2 linked regions of the Stegostoma tigrinum genome follow. The protein of the gene in region 1 interacts with the protein of each later gene in a biochemical or structural test. Links are inferred from orthologs where the notes say so. Each region holds a gene or a part of one and is shown on either strand. Other genes may lie near its edges. The genes, in order: rxfp3 and relaxin-3-like.

Evidence for each region.
Region 2: the proteins of rxfp3 (region 1) and relaxin-3-like form a complex in vitro, tested with the Homo sapiens proteins (2 studies listed by BioGRID, with this or other methods). The link is inferred for Stegostoma tigrinum from reciprocal best matches to the Homo sapiens genes RXFP3 and RLN3.

Annotation. Positions count from the first base shown.
Region 1 is NC_081354.1:149,600,275-149,610,926, reverse strand, and holds rxfp3 (relaxin-3 receptor 1), read left to right. Parts: upstream 1-5,712; 5' UTR 5,713-5,761; coding exon 5,762-7,006; 3' UTR 7,007-8,758; exon of another isoform or gene 8,759-9,212; intron 9,213-10,243; 3' UTR 10,244-10,643; downstream 10,644-10,652. UniProt on the Homo sapiens protein: Receptor for RNL3/relaxin-3. Binding of the ligand inhibit cAMP accumulation.
Region 2 is NC_081388.1:24,054,244-24,065,561, reverse strand, and holds relaxin-3-like, read left to right. Parts: upstream 1-6,830; 5' UTR 6,831-6,947; coding exon 6,948-7,122; intron 7,123-9,873; coding exon 9,874-10,148; 3' UTR 10,149-10,354; downstream 10,355-11,318. UniProt on the Homo sapiens protein: May play a role in neuropeptide signaling processes. Ligand for LGR7, RXFP3 and RXFP4.

The sequences.
Region 1 (10,652 bases):
ATCACTAAGAGCTAAATTTTATGAATTTTGGTTAGGTCTGAGTTGCATCCACTGTGAGGCAAATTGCCATTTCTTGCATCATGTACTAGCAACCCTGATTTGTGACATCCTTCAAATCCAATTCCAGCTGCATCTTACCATTCACCATTTTCAAAGCAACTTGCCATTTGGCAGATGTTCCAGAATTGACATGCCTTGCTTGCAGCCCCAACATATTTAAAAGCCCAGTGTGCACCTGGACAAGCACTGTCAGTCAGAGTTGCCTTGCATGGTTTCTGAGGTTTACCCAAGTCATAGCAGACAAGGGGACAGTGACACATAGCTCTTTAGGCAGGGACATGAATATCCTGATAGATGGCGTGATGCAGACACGGAACTTCCTCCTGCCTGGGACTAACAGTGGAGGTCATTACACCACAAATCTGGACAGTACAAATCCTGCATGCCCTCGATAATACCTACATTCACTTGTGACATCTCTCCACCGAAATCATAAGTAGCAGCTTTGCCACTCGCTTATTTCTCTCTTAGTACCTGCCTTGCTCTCATTCCAGAATAAAAATAACCTCCAATATGGCAGAAATGGTCAGGATAGGGGATAGACTGCTCAGCCCATTTGGTTCCTCAGCATCCTGACTCGAGTGCTGACTGACTACTTCGAGCCCCTGGACCAATATTGAAAACTGCTCTTGGCTTACTATGCCAGGACTCCTTGTAATGAAAGTTACCTTCCTTAACTCGACTGACAACTGAGATGGAGATAGTAGGAACTGTGGGTGCTGGAGAATCTGAGATAACAAGGTGTAGAGCTGGATGGACACAGCAGGCCAAGCAGCATCAGAGGAGCAAGAAGGCTGGCATTTCAGGCCTGGACCCTTCTTCAGAAAACAAGCTTCCTTCTTTTTTGTATGTGCTAAATGGAAGGCAAGGCAGAAGTAAATGTTTCTGGTAGCTCTGGCTGAGGTGTCAAAGCTCAAAAAGCAAGGCAAGTTAATACAAGGCAGAAAATCTGTAAGCATCCGGAGTGTGGGATCATCTAATTAAGACAGAGTTGAGGCATTTCTTCTCTCAGAGGGTATTGAATCTGAAGAATGCTTTAATATAGTAAATAAAACAACCTGCAGACCTCTGCGGTAAAGAACAAGAAAGACTTTTAATCAGCAAACAAGTGCTATGAAGAAAGGGCAGGCAAGTGGAGTTGGTGATAATTGGATATGTCATGGTCTCACTGAATGGTGGAGCAGACTGGATAGGCTGTATAGTCTAAGATAACAAAGTGTAAAGCTGGATGAACACAGCAGGCCAAGCAGCATTTGAGATGCTGCTTGGCCTGCTGTGTTCATCCAGCTTCACACTTTGCTATCTTGGCTTCTCCAGCATCTGCAGTTCCCATTATTTCTTAGAGGCTGTATAGTCTACTTCTGCTCTTACATCTTGTGGGTTTCTGATCTTAATTCAGTATGAGCAAGCACACAACCCTGTAAGCTCGACTGATAATCTTTAGTTTGCTCTCAGTGTAAGTCTTAGCACACTCCAGATTGTTTCATTTCCACATTCGGACATGATGTTTTACAGTTAGCAAGCCTGAACGGCTGACTATCCTCCGCCTCTGCCGCATCTGCTCCCACGATAAGACATTCCACTCCCGCACATCCCAGATGTCCAAGTTCTTTAAGGACCGCAACTTTCCCCCCACGGTGATTGAGAACGCCCTTGACCGCGTCTCCCGCATTTCCCGCGACACATCCCTCACACCCCGCCCCCGCCACAACCGCCCCAAGAGGATCCCCCTCGTTCTCACACACCACCCTACCAACCTCCGGATACAACGCATTATCCTCCGACACTTCCGCCATTTACAATCCGACCCCACCACCCAAGACATTTTTCCATCCCCTCCCCTATCTGCTTTCCGGAGAGACCACTCTCTCCGTGACTCCCTTGTTCGCTCCACACTGCCCTCCAACCCCACCACACCCGGCACCTTCCCCTGCAACCGCAGGAAATGCTACACTTGCCCCCACACCTCCTCCCTCACCCCTATCCCAGGCACCAAGATGACATTCCACATTAAGCAGAGGTTCACCTGCACATCTGCCAATGTGGTATACTGCATCCACTGTACCCGGTGCGGCTTCCTCTACATTGGGGAAACCAAGCGGAGGCTTGGGGACCGCTTTGCAGAACACCTCCGCTCAGTTCGCAACAAACAACTGCACCTCCCAGTCGCAAACCATTTCCACTCCCCCTCCCATTCTCTTGATGACATGTCCATCATGGGCCTCCTGCACTGCCACAATGATGCCACCCGAAGGTTGCAGGAACAGCAACTCATATTCCGCCTGGGAACCCTGCAGCCATATGGTATCAATGTGGACTTCACCAGTTTCAAAATCTCCCCTTCCCCCACTGCATCCCTAAACCAGCCCAGTTCATCCCCTCCCCCCACTGCACCACACAACCAGCCCAGCTCTTCCCCCCCACCCACTGCATCCCAAAACCAGTCCAACCTGTCTCTGCCTCCCTAACCGGTTCTTCCTCTCACCCATCCCTTCCTCCCACCCCAAGCCGCACCCCCAGCTACCTACTAACCTCATCCCACCTCCTTGACCTGTCCGTCTTCCCTGAACTGACCTATCCCCTCCCTACCTCCCCACCCACACCTTCTCCACCTATCTTCTTTACTCTCCATCTTCGGTCCGCCTCCCCCTCTCTCCCTATTTATTCCAGTTCCCTCCCCCCATCCCCCTCTCTGATGAAGGGTCTAGGCCCGAAACGTCAGCTTTTGTGCTCCTGAGATGCTGCTTGGCCTGCTGTGTTCATCCAGCCTCACATTCTATGGTTCCTACCGTGCTTGTTGTGAATGCCTGGAGGCATTTGCTGCTCTTTGAGTTCTGCCAGTCTTTCCAGTGTAGCGTCACACTGGCACTGAAATACATACATCATGTTATTCATTTAGATGATGAGCAAAATGTCTTTTTAGCTTTGGGGCAGCATCCAGTTTGCGGTTAACACTGCTCAAGTTGCTACAGTATAGTAGTGGTGTATTAACTAGCTTCGCCGTTTCTCAAGTTTCTGAGAAATACTTCTCGGATGACGTGAGGTCGGTTGGTAGTGGTGGTTAGGGGAATGTCCAATCGGGGCTGGAGATGGGTGCAATGAGGCAATGGCAGGTAAAACAGGGTGACAGGTGCCTGCTCTGGCACATGGGAAAGGGCTTATTGTGATGAAGTTGTTAGTGGTGGGGGGAAATGATGGTCGAAATCTAACCATTTTTGGGTAGTAGGTTAACAGTAGGCCCGGCAGCGCTCAGTTGGGAAGGGCGGAATAGTGTTCGGTGGATGAAGGGATCTTATTTGTCAGGCGTCCGGTGGTTGAAAGGGATTGAGGTAGGTGCAGTTAGGGAATAGGTGTCAGATTAACAATTAGGTAGGATTTGGAGATAGTAGGAACTTCAGATGCTGGAGAATCTGAGACAACAAGGTTTAGAGCTGAATGAACACAGCAGGCCAAGCAGGATCAGAGGAGCTGGAAGCTGAGGTTTCGGGCCGAGAGCCTTCTTCAGATTTCTGAATTTCAAGGCCCGAAATGCCAGCCTTCCTGCTCCTCTGATGCTGCTTGACCTGCTGTATTCATCCAGCTCTACGCCTTATTATCTTAGGTAGGGTTTGGAGTAGGTTTTTATTGCCAAGATGCTGGCGTGGACATAATGGCCTGAGTGGCCCTTGTTTAGTAAAATTCTGTGATCCTGGAATAGTGTAGGTTAGATGAGCTTCAGATCGGTATGACAGGTCGGCACAACATCGAGGGCCGAAGGGCCTGTACTGCGCTGTAATGTTCTATGTTCGTCTAACGTTTCCTGAGTTGCTATTAAGGTTAACTGAGTCAGAACTCTCTTATCAGACTTTTGTTTAGGGGTTGCAGGCGCAGTTGGATTGATCTGGGAACTTTAAATTACACCGGGCCATTCGCAAGGTGACCGCTGCGCTCGGAATTCAGCAGGGTCCTGACGCGCGGCTCTGCTGCCTGCAATGCTCCAACATTCTCCGGCAGTCGGAATATTGTCAACACATTCACTGCTCTCTCTACGGTCTTTTGTCGCGATAGTGGGAAGTGGTCATCCGGATCCAGTGCCGTTGATTCCCAAAGTGAAACGCTCTCACCGTCGACCTGGTTGTCCTCTTTCTCCAGGCGCTAACTGTGTCTCTTTCTGACCTCGTGTTGACCGGATTTTCATCGCATTCTCCCTCTGTCTTCCCCACCACTTTATCCAAGATTTTCATGAACAACTGGAGAGGCTTTATTGAGGGAAAAGAATGAAATAAGAACGGGGTGGGGTATGGATAAGCGTGAAGTCAGAATGAACAGACTATTTAAAAGTCTATTTAAAAATATCTAGATGCTGAGCGACACTCCAGTACGAAACTGTGTACACGTTGAAAAGAGGAGCTTGCAGGATATATGTCCGAACAGGGATCACTTGTTAAAACAAGGCTGGCTCATCAACTTTTAACAAAGATCTGCGGACCGTGGAAATGCCGAACTAAAGCAGAAATTGCTGAAGAGGCTCAGCAGGTCTTGGCGGCATCAGAAGGAAGTTGTGGGGATCACTGGATTCTCTGCACGGATACTGCCAGATCTGCTGAGATTCTCCAGCAATTTCGGCTCTTGTATCTTGTTAACTCGTTGTTTGTCCAAGTGGGAAAGCAAAGAGCACTGAAACGAAGCGACGTGGAACTCCAAAAAGAGGAGTGCATGCGATTCTAGCCGAATGTATTGTCCCTCTCCCCACGCCGCCACCCCACAAAAGTTAATCACTTCGGCAATAAATAGGTGGGAACACAAAGCTGCGGCCAGCGCTAACAATTTCTGTAACCAACTTCCAAACTCCGAAAGAACTGTGGATGCTCTAAATTAGAAAAAAATGAAATTATTGGGAAAGCTCAGGAGGCCTGGCAGCATCTGTGGTAGTTCTGAGGAAGGATCATTCGATTCGAAACGTTAATCCTGAATTTCGTCTCCACAGATGCTGGAAAACCTGCTGTGCTTTTCCAGCGATTTTGTTTCTAACTTCAAGATCCCCTCCGAGCCTCTGAGGCGGCACGACCCTGAAAGGATCCCGGTGTCGTTTCTTGGAAGGTGGTGTGCGGAGAGGGAACAGACCTCAATAAATGGTCATTTCTAACACCCAATCCCATTGTCTCTCCTGGCACTTCGCGGTGAGGTGACTGGCCGCGCCTTAATCTGAGGCGCGTAAAGAGCGAGCGGGAATCGCACTCTCTCAGTGCAGTAAACACCAGGAGATGCTGCTGCTGCTGTTGTCCAAACCGCCAGAAAACTGGAGCAGAGATTGGCGGAGGAGGTGGGGATTATTTGTAAATAGTTCTGTTTGGGAGAACGAGTCAATATTGCGGGCGGTGTATCCACTCTCTCTGGGCTCTCAGGCCGATGGAAATGCAGGGAAGGTGTGTGTGTGTGTGCTTTATGTGATCTCACTTCGTCTCCAAACTGAAACGTGAAGAAGAATAATTCGGGGGAAGATCCCAGGCTGGGATGGGAGGACGCAAGCGCAGAGCTGTGTCAGGGGGAGGTGATGGGGTGTATGTGTGTGCTGGGGGGGGGGGTGCTGTGGATGTGGATGGTGATGGGAGGGGGTGGAGTTTAGTATAAAACTGCCTGTTCTGGGCTCTGCCATGGACATTTCCCGCCTGAAGCTGACGGAGCAGGGAGTGCGCCGGGTCACAGCAGACCAGACCATGGGATGGACTTCGACCTCATCGCCAGCAACCGGACGGCGGCTGCGGAGCAGGGCTGCCGGTTTCGGCCCGTTAGCTTCGCCTGGCTCTCCGCCTTCAACCGGAGCAACGAGTCTCGGGCGGGGGAGCCGCTGAGCGGCGACTTGGAGGCGGGAGGCACTTCAGCCGCCGCCCGCATCGTCATCTCGGTGGTGTACTCGGCGGTGTGCGCTCTGGGGCTGCTCGGTAACGTGCTGGTCCTCTACCTGATGAAGAGCAGGCGGGGCTGGAAGAAATCCTCCATTAACCTGTTCGTCACCGGACTGGCGGCCACTGACTTCCAGTTCGTGCTGACCCTGCCCTTCTGGGCGGTGGACACGGCGATGGACTTCAGCTGGCCCTTCGGCCGGGTCATGTGCAAGGTTGTCTCCCTGGTGACCGTCATGAACATGTACGCCAGCGTCTTCTTCCTCACCGCCATGAGCATGGCCCGCTATTGGTCGGTAGCTTCCGCCCTGAAGCCCAGGAGCAAGATGAGCGGCTGCTCGGCCATGTGGGTCAGCATCGTGATCTGGATCTCCGCTGTGCTGGCCAGCATCCCGCACGCTGTCTTCTCCACCACCACCAGGATCTCCAACGAGGAGCTGTGCGTGCTGAAGTTCCCGGACCACAACGGCTCCGGTCAGTTCTGGCTGGGTCTCTACCAGATCCAGAAGGTGCTGTTGGGCTTCCTCATCCCTTTGGTCCTCATCACGGTCTGCTACCTGCTGTTGCTGCGCTACGTGACCAACAGGAATGTCAGCAGCTCCAGCGCCAGCCGGAGGTCCAAGGTGACCAAGTCGGTCACCATTGTCGTTCTGTCCTTCTTTCTGTGCTGGCTCCCCAACCAGGCGCTGACTTTCTGGGGAGTCCTGATCAAACTCAACGCCGTTCAGTTCACCTCCGAGTACTACATCGCCCAGTCCTACATCTTCCCCATCACCGTCTGCCTGGCTCACACTAACAGCTGCCTGAACCCCATCCTGTACTGCCTGATGAGGAGAGAGTTCCGCAAGGCGCTGAAAGGCATGTTCTGGAGGATGTCCTCCCCCACCATTATACACATGCGGCCCTTCACAGCCAGCACTAAGCCAGAACAGGATGAGCAGAGGCATGTCATCATTCCGAAAAACCCGGTCCAGCCGGAGATTTTGTATTACCCTCCGGGGGTTGTGATGTGCAACGGGCGATATGACATCTTGCCCGCCAACTCTGCGGAGCCCCGCTATTAAGGAGGCTGTGGAATGAGTTAAAATTGATCCGCTTTTCAGAAGAACGATATAGTGTAAGTCTGCCGAGGTTTAGCCAACTCTCAAGCCATTGTAGTTCGTCACTTTGCCATTGCAGTTCGATCGTTTCTCCAGACCAAATTGCTCTGGGTTAATCGTTGTGTGGCTGAAACAGCAGCAGTGCTGATCCCAAGACAAGCGGTGCGAGCATACAGTCATATCGGACACAGAATGTTAGCTATTTTCTTTCGCCACAGATGCGCCCACTGAGTTCCTCCGTCACTTTCTGTTTTAATGTTTATACGCGCCCCCTTAACAGCGAAATTTCCGAAGTTAGCCGCAATTGATTTTAACGCATAGGAATCCAGTTAATAGCAGAACCGCTAGGCGACAGTCATTACAGCCAAACATTATCCTATCCCGTGAGATTGTTGTGAAATAATAATCGGATTGGAACCAGGTACAGCTCCGTTTACTGTACAGCATCATACGCCACGAAGTAGGGCACTCGCACTTTTCAGAACAAAAATAATCGCCGTGTCTAGTTTGGAAACTTTTGAGTTCGATCTTCTAAATTAGTTTGTGGTCTTCTCGAACAATGAAAGGCTGTGAATGATCGTAAATATCATGACACAAACTCAAGTTGTATGTTTTCACTTAAGCAGGGTGACAAGTTGAACAGAAAATATATGAATTTCATTCTGTGAAAAGCGTAATTATTCGGCATCAGGTGAAATCACAGCATCTGTGTGAGAGGTTGCCACAGCTCCGGGAAGCCCTATTTGATACGGAATCGTTTTCACTTCAAATTGCAATCAATGTGCGCTCCAAATTACAGTTTATCTTTGGTTTGTCTGTCTTTTACGTTCATCCTCCTTCTTCAGTCTGAGGTACTCGTTACAAAATTCTCCATCTTCAAGTAATTCACCATTCGTATTCCACGTGACGATGAAAAATCTAAACGCCCCGACCTCTGGAGATTCTGATACAGTGCCATGTTTACTTTTCAGGATTCACTGTTCACAATAGTAGCTTTGCTAAAACTCCTCTTCTGCAGATATTATTTGTTAGAAATAAACCATTATACTCGCAAACTGCTTGTTTATAAAAACCAAAAGAAGTGCAGATGCTGTAAATCAGGAACAAAAACAAAGTTGCTGGAAAAGCTCAGCAATTCTGGCAGCATCTGTGAAGGAGAAATCAGAGTTAACATTTCGGGTCCAGTGACCCTTCCTCAGAACTGACCCTTTCTGAGGAAGGGTCACTGGACCTGAAACATTAACTTTGTTTTCTCCTTCCTAAATGCTGTCAGATCTGCTGAGCTCTATCTGCATATTTATGTTCCTTAATAATAATGTAGACAACAAAGATTCATGATTGAAAGATTGCACAATTTTGATTATTTTCATATTCACCAGTTTTAGCACTTATAATTGGAAATTAAAGTTATGAACCAAAACTGTGTTGTAAGTATTAACTACTATTTTTGCTAAATAGGTAATGATAGTGCTAAAATACTTAATTAATTGAGCATTACTATACTATTCATTTTGCATTGATGTAAAACAGTTTCAGATATACATTGACACATATCAGAATTAAAGTTAATATAATTTAAAAGTTGAGTTGATAATTTGACTGAAGTGCATTAGTTGCTCTAGAAAGTAGTTCTGCACTGTTTGGGTTTCAGAGTCATTCATGAAGAGCTACAGTCAACAATGGCAAAATACTAAATCACCAAATCATACAATGCAGGTAAAGGAAATTTGTTCACTCCTATCTATTTTATACTTACCCATTTAGTCCCACTCCCTTGTTTCTTATCTGTAGCTATGATTATGTTTCCTTTTCAAATATCTGTTCCTTTAACTTGAAGCCAGTGGTTCCTTTATGTCAATGAGGCATATTGCAACTTTGATTTAATCTGCTACTTTTGTACTGTCATAAATAGTTTTGAGTGCATAGTGAAGTTGCTAGTGCTATTGGAACTTCAGAGCTTGGAGCCAGTCTGACTTCAGAATGCAGCATGTCAAGCAGCGTGAAACCCTTTACAGGCACCTGGCTCAAACATCTCAGGAGTAACACCAGACAAAAAATTACTTTGGAGCTGGCTAAAGTGAATCATAAAAATTAACTCATATTTTCTATTCAACTTCCAGTTGCGTAAGAATCAAAAATTGAAAAGTACAGCTAAATAGATGTTAAAATGTGAGGCTGGATGAACACAGCAGGCCCAGCAGCATCCTGAGATGCTGCTGGGCCTGCTGTGTTCACCCAGCCTCACGTTTTATTATCTTGGATTCTCCAGCATCTGCAGTTCCCATTATCGCTAAATAGATGTTCCTTTCTCGACCATTCCAACTCAAAAAGAAATGCTGCTCGTGATTAAAAGATTTTACATGCATACTGAGAATTTTCCTGGTTTGCAATTTTTGGGAGCATTGTGTTTCAATGAACTGAATTTATCTGAACTTGTAATATTACTGTAGACAATGTTTAAAACAATAACAGTAAGTTGCTTTTATATAGCATCTTTTAGTAAAACTTGACAAGACACTTAACAGAATTGTTAGAAGACAAAGTTTGACACAGAATGTATTTGAAAGCAAGAAATTTTGTGGCGTGTAGTAAAGAAGAAAGAAACATAACTGAATAAATAGTTCAGTGAGGGAACTTCAGACCTTAGAGCTGTTGTGATCTTTGTGGGGAAGCCATAAGCACATTTATTGAATTAGTCTCAGTGGAAGAAGTTACTTACAGGACTCTACTTCTTATGCTTTTCTTTGTGTCACATGAATCAGAACCAACACTGCATCTTTTTGCTTTGCACAGAAGAACATTTGTTGAGTAAAATTATTTCTTACTGTCAGTTTTTAAATTTTACTGATATAGTTCTCATGTTCTACCTTATGTAAACCGTAACTCATTCAAAACTCTTCTGCTGTAACCTTACTCTCGCCAAGTCACCTTTATCCTTGCACTCACTGGCTCAATGGTTTTCAATCTAACAATAGCTCAAACATAAAGTTCAAATTTTGTACTCAAATCCAACCTCTAGAATTTCCTACGACATTCCAAGAATTCTCCTTTACGTTGATTTTGCCCTCTTCCACATCTCTCATTTTCATCACTCCAGCATTGGTTACTTCATCAGTTTAGATCTTGTGTCAACCTTGAGTAAAAGTAGTGTAGGGAGGAAAGTTTTTAATTTCTTTATCTGAATCTGTAATTCTTTTACAGAACGTTTGAAAGGATTTTGAGATATTTCATCAATTGTAAAGGAATCAATTGTGAATTTCTTGATAAATAAAATCCTAGTGACCTGAAGGGGCACCAATAGGAAGCTGTGTTGCTAAAAGACACAAAGGAGAGTTACAGACAAACGGAGCTACCAGCAGAGGAGCAGAAGGAGAGTCACGAAGAGAGTTACTTGCAGAGTAACTGGAAGTTGAAGACAATCCATGCACAGGTACAAAGACAGAGCAGACAAAGTTATAAACAGTAACACAGAGAATTCTTGTGAGGAGAAGCAGCAAATCAGTCTCCATACAAAGTTAGAGATAATGGGAACTGCAGATGCTGGAGATTCCAAGATAATAAGATGTGAGGTTGGATGAACACAGCAGGCCAAGCAGCATCTCAGGAGCAC
Region 2 (11,318 bases), on another chromosome or scaffold:
TTCACTTGTGGGACATGGGATTTGACGCTGGCCAGCATTTATTCTCCATCCCTAGTTGCTCTTGACAAAGTGATAGTAATCTGCTTTCTTGAACTGCTGCATTCCATGTGTTATACATTGACTCTCAATACCCTAAGGGAGGGAATTGCAGGATTTTGACCCAGCGACAATAAAGGACAAGTGATATATTTCCAAGTCACATGGTGAGTGGCTTGGTGGGAAACTTGCAGCTGGTGGTGTTCCCTTGTATCTGGTCCTGGATGTCTAAGGATCTTTGGTGAATTTCTGCAGTGTATCTTATATATCTTTGGGTCAGCAAGTCTTTTATGTATCTTTGGGTCAGCAAGTTTGCAGACGACACAAAGGTCGGAGGTGTCGTTGACAGTGTAGAGGGCTGTTGTAGGCTGCAGCAGGACATTGACAGGATGCAGAGATGGGCTGAGAGGTGGCAGATGGAGTTCAACCTGGATAAATGCGAGGTGATGCATTTTGGAAGGTCGAATTTGAAAGCTGAGTACAGGATTAAGGATAGGATTCTTGGCAGAGTGGAGGAACAGAGGGATCTTGGTGTGCAGATACATAGATCCTTTAAAATGGCCACCCAAGTGGACAGGGTTGTTAAGAAAGCATATGGTGTTTTGGCTTTCATTAACAGGGGGATTGAGTTTAAGAGTCTTGAGATCTTGTTGCAGCTCTATAAAACTTTGGTTAGACCACACTTGGAATACTGCGTCCAGTTCTGGTCGCCCTATTATAGGAAAGATGTGGATGCTTTGGAGAGGGTTCAGAGGAGGTTTACCAGGATGCTGCCTGGACTGGAGGGCTTATCTTATGAAGAGAGGTTGACTGAGCTCGGTCTCTTTTCATTGGAGAAAAGGAGGAGGAGACGGGACCTAATTGAGGTATACAATGAGAGGCATAGATAGAGTTGATAGCCAGAGACTATTTCCCAGGGCAGAAATGGCTAGCACGAGGGGTCATAGTTTTAAGCTGGTTGGTGGAAAGTATAGAGGGGATGTCAGAGGCAGGTTCTTTACGCAGAGAGTTGTGAGAGCATGGAATGCGTTGCCAGCAGCAGTTGTGGAAGCAAGGTCATTGGGGTCATTTAAGAGACTGCTGGACATGTATATGGTCGCAGAAATTTGAGGGTGCATACATGAGGATCAATGGTCGGCACAACATTGTGGGCTGAAGGGCCTGTTCTGTGCTGTACTGTTCTATGTTCTATGTTCTATATATAAGTATGCACAGCTGCTACTGAGTGTTGGTGGTGGAGCGAGTGGATGCATTCGGATGTGGTGCCAATTAAGCGGGCTGCTATGTCCTGGATGGTGTCAAACTCCTCGAATGGTGTTGGAGCTGCATCCGTCCAGGCAAATGGGGAGTATTCCAACATATTCCTGACTTGTGCTTTGTAGATGCTAAACAGGCTTTGAGGTGTCAGGAGATGAGTTACCGCAGTATTCCCAGCTTCTGACCTGCTCTTGTAGCCACTGTGATCATGTGGTGAATTCAGTTGTATTTCTGGTCCATAGTAACCCCAAGGATATTGTTAGGGGGAGATTCAGTGATGGTAACACCATTGAATGTCAAGGATGGTGGTTAGATTGTCTCTTATTGGTGATGGTTATTGTATTTTTGTGGCGCAAAAGTTACTTAAAGCTTTTCACATTTGTAACTACTCTGAGAATTCTGAGGCTCAATTTCCAGCGCACTACCCCTACGAGTTGTAACAACAGGACAAACCTGGGCAATTTTCTACTTTGCTGGGTAGATGCCAGTTTTGTGACTATACTGAAACAGCTTCGCTAGGCACTTAGTTGTTCTGGAGAGCACACCTTCAGTACTGTGATTGGAAGCCATCACCTTTGCAACGTCCAATATCGTCAGCTGTTTCATGACACAACATGGAGTGAATCGAATTGGCTGAAGACTGGCCTCTATGATGTTGGGGACCACTGCAGGAGGCCGAGGTGGATCATCCAGTTGGTACTTCTGGTAAAAAGTTATTATGAATGTTTCAGCCTTTTGCACTGATGCGTGGGGCTCCCCCATCATTCAGAATGGACACGTTTGTGAAGCCTCCTCCAGTGAGTTGTTTAATTGTTCACCATCATTCACAGCTGGATTTGGCAGGACTGCAGAGCTTAGATCTAATGTCTTGGTTCTCTCATCGTGATATTACAACACATGGTGCTGGGCACAAGAGGGCGGGTCTAACAGCAGCTCGAAGAAGTATACACATAATATCCTGAGATATGAAATCTATTGCTTTTTCCACACATGCAGCTTGACCTTGACCTGCTGAATAGTTCATCAATTTTGTTTTCCTCTCTTGATATTGTCATTGATGATCAGTTTATATCTTCAACCCTGCCTTGAGTGTACATATAGAAAAGAGGCTTTCTTCACAACTTATTGCTCTAACTGATATTCACACTGTGTTAGTTTAGTCTGATACTCTGCCCAAAAAACTCACAAGACAAGGAGTAACTTTTATTGTTCCTCCAATACACAGTTTTCCTTTCAGTATGTGTCCTATATGTCTGCAGTAAGCACCTCTCTCTCAAACACACACATTCCTGATTTTCTCTCCATCTGTTGTGCTTTCCTTCATTCTTTCTTTCCATTCCTTCTCTCAGGCTGCCAGCCCCTCTTTGGCTCCATACGCAGTTCCTCTTTATCTAACCTGTGTTTCGCTCTGAACTTTTACCTCTGTCTAATTCTCTGTCTTTCATAATCCATCTCTTTTATTAGAACATAGAATGTAGCACAGTTCAGACCCTTGGGCCCAAGATGTTGTGCTGAACTTTTACCTTAATCCTAAGGTCGCTCTAACCTCCACCCCTACCTTATACTATCATCCATATGCCTATCTAACAGCCACTTAAATGCCCCTACTGTGGCCGACTCCACTACCCTCTCCGGCAATGCACTCCACGCCCCGACCACTCTCTGAGTAAAGAACCTACCTCTGACATCTCCCTGATATCTACCTCCACTCACTTTAAAACTATGCCCCTTGTAATAGCTACTTCCACCCGAGGAAAAAGTCTCTGGCTGCCTACTCTATCTATACCTCTGATCATTTTGTACACCTCTATCAAGTCACCTCTCATCCTTTGTTGTTCTGAAGAGCAAAACCCTAGCTCCCTCAACCGTTCCTCTTAAGAACTTCCTTCCATTCCAGGCAACATCCTGGTAAATCTCCTCTGCACCTTTCCCAACGCTTCCACATCAGTCCTGTAACGAGGCGACCAGAACTGGACACAATACTCCAGATGTGGCCCAACCAGGGGCATTTGTATAGCTGGGGCATAACCTCACGGCTCTTGAACTCAATCCCTCTATTAATGAACACTAACACACTATACGCCTTCTTAACAACTCTATCCACCTGGGTGGCAGCTTTCAGGGAACAGTGGACATGAACCCCAAGATCCCTCTGCTCCTCCACACTGCCAAGAATCTTTCTGTTAACCCTGTATTCTGCTTTAAAATTTGTCCTTCCAAAATGAATCACCTCACATCTTTCAGGATTAAACTCCATCTGCCACTTCTCAGCCCAGCTCTGCATCCTATCAATGTCCCTTTGTAACCTAGAACAGCCCTCCGCACTATCCACAACTCGACCCACATTTGTATCATCCATGAACTTACTAATCCACCCCTCCACTGCTACATCCAAATCTTGTACACAAATCACAAATAGAAGGGGACCCAGAACAGATCCTTGTGGTACACCATTCGTAACTGAGCACCATGTTAAATATTTTCCGTCCACTACCACTCTTTGTGTTCTAAGATTTTATTGCTTGTTCTGTTCCTGTTTCTTTCACAATGAACCTCTGAGATTGCATGGTCCATTGAAAATATGGGATGCACAATGAATGTAAAGTCAGTGTCTTTTGTGCAAGCAATCTCGTGAAACCTGAACCCAGGGCAGAGCCAGCAGGCCATAGCGACTGTGCTGACGCTGAACATGAGCAAAATGGAAATTGATTCAGAGAACTCAGTGCTTGATGCCATTGCTGCATCTTGGAGCTTTTCTGGGTACTACAAAAGTTTCAGAGAGTTTCTTCTGGATATACTGGCTGTTCAGTCTAATGCCAACTCAAACATACTAGAATTCAAGTTCATGTTGACTGAGCCAGTCTCAGAGAGAGATAATTAATTCAGGATCCATAATTCTGGCAGATTTGTACTGGACTGAGAAAACATAGCGATGTTGGAGGGTCAGTGCTGAGGAGTCCCACACTGTCGGAGGGTCAGTGCTGAGGGAGTGCCGCACTGTCGGAGGATCAGTGCTGAGGGAGTCCCTCACTGTCGGAGGGTCAGTGCTGAGGGAGTCCCACACTGTGGGAGGGTCTGTACTGAGGGAGCACTGTACTCTCAGGGTGTCGGTATTGAGGGATCGCCGCACTGTCGGGTCATCTGTGCTGAGGGAACACTGTATTTTTGGAGATGTCACCTAATAAGGAAAGTCCCTATGTGAGTGATGAGGCGGATATTGAAAGCCTCGTGCTGTTAGTGGGAGCAGGGATGGGGGGATGTGATCTTTCCTTTGTGAATGCTGCTCCCACTCAATTTTGCTTCCAGTGGAAGTTTTTTCGACAGTATTCAGTCTAGAAAATGACAATGTTGTCGAGGAGAATACTGAGAAACAGGCTACTAGACTAGGTGGGATTGGTTCACAAGGAAGAGGTATTAGAAATCCTACAGAGTGTGAAGATAGATAAGTCTCCTGGGCCGGATGGGATTTATCCTTGGATCCTCTGGGAAGCCAGGGAGGAGATTGTCAAGCCTTTGGCATTGATCTTTAACTCGTCATTGTCTAAAGGAATAGTGCCAGATGACTGGAGAATAGCAAATGTGGTTCCCCTGTTCAAGAAGGGGAGTAGAGACAACCCTGGTAATTATAGACCAGTGAGCCTTACCTCAGTTGTTGGTAAAGTGTTGGAAAAGGTTATAAGGGATAGGATTTATAATCATCTAGAAAAGAATAAATTGATTAGGGATAGTCAGCACGGTTTTGTGAAGGGAAGGTCGTGCCTCACAAACGTTATTGAGTTCTTTGAGAAGGTTACCAAACAGGTAGATGAGAGTAAACCGGTTGATGTGGTGTATATGGATTTCAGCAAGGTGTTCGATAAGGTTCCCCACAATAGGCTATTATATAAAATGCAGAGGAATGAAATTGTGGGAGATAGAGCAGTTTGGATCGGAAATTGGCTTGCTGAAAGAAGACAGAGGGTGGTAGTTGATGGGAAATGTTCATCCTGGAGACCAGTTACTAGTGGTGTACCGCAAGGGTCTGTGTTGGGTCCACTGCTGTTTGTCATTTTTATAAATGACCTGGATGCAGGCGTAGAAGGATGGATTAGTAAATTTGCAGACGACGCTAAGGTCGGTGGAGTTGTGGATAACGATGAAGGATGCTGTAGGTTGCAGAGAGACATAGATAAGCTGCAGAGCTGGGCTGAGAGGTGGCAAATGGAGTTTAATGCAGACAAGTGTGAGGTGATGCACTTTGGTAGGAGTAACCGGAAGGCAAAGTACAGGGCTAATGGTAAGATTCTTGGTAGTGTAGATGAGCAGAGAGATCTCGGTATCCGTGTACACAGATCCTTGAAAGTTGCCACCCAAGTTGACAGGGCTGTTAAGAAGGCATACAGTGTTTTAGCTTTTATTAATAGAGGGATCGAGTTCCGGAACCAAGAGGTTACGGGGAAGCTGTACAAAACTCTGGTGCGGCCGCGCTTGGAGTATTGTGTACAGTTCTGGTCACCGCACTATAAGAAGGATGTGGAAACTTTGGAAAGGGTGCAGAGGAGATTTACTAGGATGTTGCCTGGTATGGAGGGAAGGTCTTACAAGGAAAGGCTGAGGGATTTGAGGCTGTTTTCATTAGAGAGAAGAAGGTTGAGAGGTGACTTAATTGAGACACATAAAATAATCAGAGGGTTAGATAGGGTGGATAGGGAGAGCCTTTTTCCTAGGATGGTGACGGCGAGCACGAGGGGGCATAGCTTTAAATTGAGGGGTGAAAGATATAGGACAGATGTCAGAGGTAGTTTCTTTACTCAGAGAGTAGTAAGGAAATGGAGCGGTTTGCCTGCAACGGTAGTAGATTCGCCAACTTTAGGTACATTTAAGTCGTCATTGGACAAGCATATGGACGTACATGGAATAGTGTAGGTTAGATGGGCTTGAGATCGGTATGACAGGTCGGCACAACATTGAGGGCCGAAGGGCCTGTACTGTGCTGTAACGTTCTATGTTCTATGAACAGCTCCCATCCCCATGACCCCCTGCCTGTCACAGGAATGCAGTTTGCCTCACCAATGGAACAGTTTGTTGTGTAAGGATAACAGCGTGAGGCTGGATGCTTGAGTGAGGTCTCCATTGAAAATGAAGAATTAACCCTTCCAAGAAGAGCTTGAGAGTGCATAGGTTAGAATTAGGCAAAAATTTTAAACAAAGGTTTGTGATAAAATGTATGACGTAAGCTGTGAGGTCTTAACATTTAATAAATAGCAACTCATCGCATGACTTTTTATTGTCAGGATTTTCCTTTGAATACTTTTATATATGATTAATATTTTCTTTGATAAGAACATTGAAGCTGTGCAGATCATATTAAACATTTAGTGTGTCTGTCTCCGCACAGGCAGAGACCTTTACAGCAGTTCTGTTGCTGATCATTAAACCATAAGCTCCTAATGTGTATTGTGACAGCTCAGTAATTACATCTGTTTATCAGATATGAACAAGGGTTTAAATAGAGTGGACTTTAAGTAAGGCAGGCACAGGCTCTAGCTTCAGCACTGGCACCGGGGATCCTCATTCTCGCTCCTCAACCTCTCTCTCTCTGTCTCCTTGTGCTCTCTATTCTCCCCTCACTCCTGCATCCTCAGTCTCACAGGATAAGAAAGACAGTCCACGTCATGCAGAGGTTTTGGTTTATCCTGGCCCTCTGGCTGGTCATCTCAGAGTTTCAGCTGGAGGCTAATGCTCATAAACCTGTTCTTGGAGTAAAACTCTGTGGGAGAGAATTTATCCGGGCAGTCATTTTCACCTGCGGAGGCTCCAGGTGGAAAAGGACAGGAAGAAATCCAGCAGGTAAGAGCTACCAGGGAACATTTTGCCTGTGCCACTGACAGGCAAAATAGCACCCAGCACAGCGCTGAGTGAACATCCCAGCAGATGGACTATCCACGAGTTACCAGATCCTAGTGGGTTACTTGCTAGTTGCCAGATCCCAGTGGGAACAATGAAAAGAAAAGCAGTGGGATTCCTAAAGGAGCTGTGATCCTCTCAGTCTCTGCCTAGTTAGCTGATGCTCATGCCCAAGTGGGCAGAGTGAGATCTCCCCCAGCATGAGATAGAAATCAAATGTCCAGGGCTGCCATGCAGCTGCAGCCAAAGCCCAGGTGGATCTCAGTCTGTGCTGTTCCAATGAAGGGGAAACAATTGGCACTGCTGAGAAGCTCAGAGCCTGGGTGGAACAGACAAAGTAAATTATCTTTCATTCACTCATTCACAGGATGAGGGCATTGTTGGCTAGGCCAGCATTTACTGCCCATTCCTATTTGCCTGGAGGGCAGTTAAGAGTCACCTACATTGTTGCGGGTCTGGAGTCACATGTAGGCCAGACCATGTAAGGATGGCAATTTCCTTCCCCGAAGGACATTAGTGAACCAGATGGGTTTTCCCAAAATTAACAATGGTTTTGTGGTCATCATTTGATTCCTAATTCGATGTTTGTTTTTGAATTCATCTGCCATGGTGGGATTCCTTCTCAGGTCCCCAGGACATTACCAGGGTTTCTGGATTCATAGTCCAGTGATAATGCCAAAAGTCCATCATCTTTCAGACAGTACTGCATCACAATTCTGTCATGTTTGAATTACACACTCATTCCAGTCCTGATACTTGTCAGTTCTGATGTGTCAGGACTGATGGTTGAAATTGAATTAGATTAGATTAGAATTAGATTAGAACATTACAACACAGTACAGGCCCTTCGGCCCTCGATGTTGTGCCGACCTGTCATACCGATCTCAAGCCCATCTAACCTACACTATTCCATGTACGTCCATATGCTTGTCCAATGACGACTTAAATGTACCTAAAGTTGGCGAATCTACTACCGTTGCAGGCAAAGCATTCCATTCCGTTACTACTCTCTGAGTAAAGAAACTACCTCTGACATCTGTCCTATATCTTTCACCCCTCAATTTAAAGCTATGCCCACTCGTGCTCACCGTCACCATCCTAGGAAAAAGGCTCTCCCTATCCACCCTATCTAACCCTCTGATTATTTTATATGTTTCAATTAAGTCACCTCTCAACCTTCTTCTCTCTAATGAAAACAGCCTCAAGTCCCTCAGCCTTTCCTCGTAAGACCTTCACTCCATACCAGGCAACATCCTAGTAAATCTCCTCTGCACCCTTTCCAAAGCTTCCACATCCTTCTTGTAATGCGGTGACCAGAACTGTACGCAATACTCCAAGTGCGGCCGCACCAGAATTTTGTACAGCTGCAGCATAACCTCTTGGTTCCGGAACTCGATCCCCCTATTAATAAAAGCTAAAACACTGTATGCCTTCTTAACAGCCCTGTCAACCTGGGTGGCAACTTTCAAGGATCTGTGTACATGGACACCGAGATCTCTCTGCTCATCTACACTACCAAGAATCTTACCATTAGCCCTGTACTTTGCCTTCCGGTTACTCCTACCAAAGTGCATCACCTCACACTTGTCTGCATTAAACTCCATTTGCCACCTCTCAGCCCAGCTCTGCAGCTTATCTATGTCTCTCTGCAACCTACAGCATCCTTCGTCACTATCCACAACTCCACCAACCTTAGTGTCGTCTGCAAATTTACTAACCCATCCTTCTACGCCCTCATCCAGGTCATTTATAAAAATGACAAACAGCAGTGGACCCAACACCGCCCCTTGTGGTACACCACTAGTAACTGGTCTACAGGATGAACATTTCCCATCAACTACCACCCTCTGTCTTCTTTCAGCAAGCCAATTTCTGATCCACGGAATCCGATATCAAGCCCTGTCAACTAGCTTTTCACAGTCTGTTCTTTCAGGCTTCCTGCCCTGGTTTTTGGTTGTGGGGAGATAGGAGGTTGAGCACCAACGTTTGTTCATTGCTGCTTTTGAGAACAGATATATTTGAAATGGGGTTCATGTGGCTGCACTGAGGCTTGTAAATAATGCAGAGATTCTTAAATGCATTTAGAAGAGGAACTGGCTGAATAGAACATCTGAATTAAATTATTGCTAGCTGATCCTGTCTGGAACAAGGGAAAATGCCACAGCATTCTTCTCAGAACTCTGGCTTCACAAGCAGTAAGTTTAACTGTGGGTCCCTCTCCAAATCGTTACCCACTGGTAAATCCTGCAGCCAAGTGTGTATGTTGAGAAAGATCAATTATAAAGTCACTTGTGATTGAATATTCTGTTAGGTTTCACCGTCCAGGCTCGCAGATGAACAGTAAGCTCAGCTGAGAGGACGGGTGGTTAGAAACCTGTCACAGGCTTGGGAGTAGCAAGCACATCCCTGCATCTCCCGCTGTATCTCAGTACTGACTGAATTGAGACAAAGATCAGCCACCTATCACTGAAACAAGTTCAATTCGATGATACCTGTCCTCAGATGTACTGCAGAAAATTTGAGATCCTGAAGAAAGAAGATCACTGCAAACCAGCTTTTAGGTTATTGAATTTTATTGGAGAAGATTTAATGATGAGTTGGAAAGGTAATGTTCTGGGTCAGGGCCCTTATTCAGAAAAAAGATATTTAATGATGAGTTTCCGTGTTATGGGTTGTGGTGTGTTTATCTTCCAGATATCTCTGAGAACCCTGACTACCTGGAGAAGACGATAAAAGACACCAATTTTGATGGCTGGCCTCTTTCAGAAGATGTCACCATCTATGAGCCAGAGAGTTGGAGAGTGCTGGTACGACTTGGGGGAGACAGCCGAAGCAGGAGAAGCGTTTCTGATGATGTCTTAGAGGCTTTGCGAAGCACCAACAGGAAGGGGAGGGATGTGGTGGCAGGTCTGTCCAGTGCTTGTTGTAAATGGGGTTGCACCAAAAGTGAGATCAGCTCACTCTGTTAGAGTACACCTCTACATCATCCACAACCTCCTGTACACCTCAACATACAACAGAAGCCTGAGGACTGGGGTGAAATGCGCAAATAGCTCTCTTGCCAAGATCTCAAGCCTCAGAGGCCACAAAAGCACAGTACAAATATCTGTGCATGATACAGGAACAGTGATCAAAATTGAAACCAGCAATTTGCACAATGCTGACTTGTTGACAGACAGGCATTGGTTGAAATGTTTGATGTCTTGACTAGAGATGAACATTTTTTTTGGTTTGCCATCAAACCTTCATTGTTCTTATTCAAGGTTACAGTCAAAGTTTTGATATGTTCCCATCATGTTTGTACAGTCTGCTTTTCATAAAAAATGTCTACAGCATCAAAACAGACTCAAGTTTCATTTTTCAATGTTAAAGTGGGAGCAATTCATTCACTTCCCATTGCAGTAAAATAATTATTAACCAGTCGCACTGTTCCCTAGAACCACACACACTGACTCACACTGGGGTACAGTCCCACACACTGACTCACACTGGGGTACAGTCCCACACACACACTGACTCTCACTGGGGTACAGTCACACACACACATTGACTCTCACTGGGGTACGGGGTCCCACACACACATTGACTGTCAGTGGGGTACAGTCGCACACACACACAGTGACTCTCACTGGGGGACAGTTCCATAAACACAGCGACTGTCACTGGGGTAAAGTCCCACACACTCACTGACTCCCACTGCGGTACAGTAACACACGCACATTGATTCTCACTGGGTTACAGTCCCAAACACACACTGACTCTCATTGGGGTACAATCTCACACACACACTGACTCTCACTGGGGTACGGGGTCCCATACACGCACTGACTCTCACTGGGCTACAGTCCCATATGCACATTTACTCTCACTAGGGTACAATCGCACACACACACATTGACTCTACCCGGGGTATGGGGTTCCACACACACATTGACTCTACCCGGGGTATGGGGTTCCACACACACATTGACTCTCACCAGGGTACAGTTCCACACACAATAACTCTCAATGGTGCACAGTTCCATACACACACTGATTCTCACTGGGGGACAGTCCCACATACATGTTGACTCACACTGGGGTATGGGTTCCCACACACACTGATTCTCACTGGGCATCAGTCCCACACACACACTCAC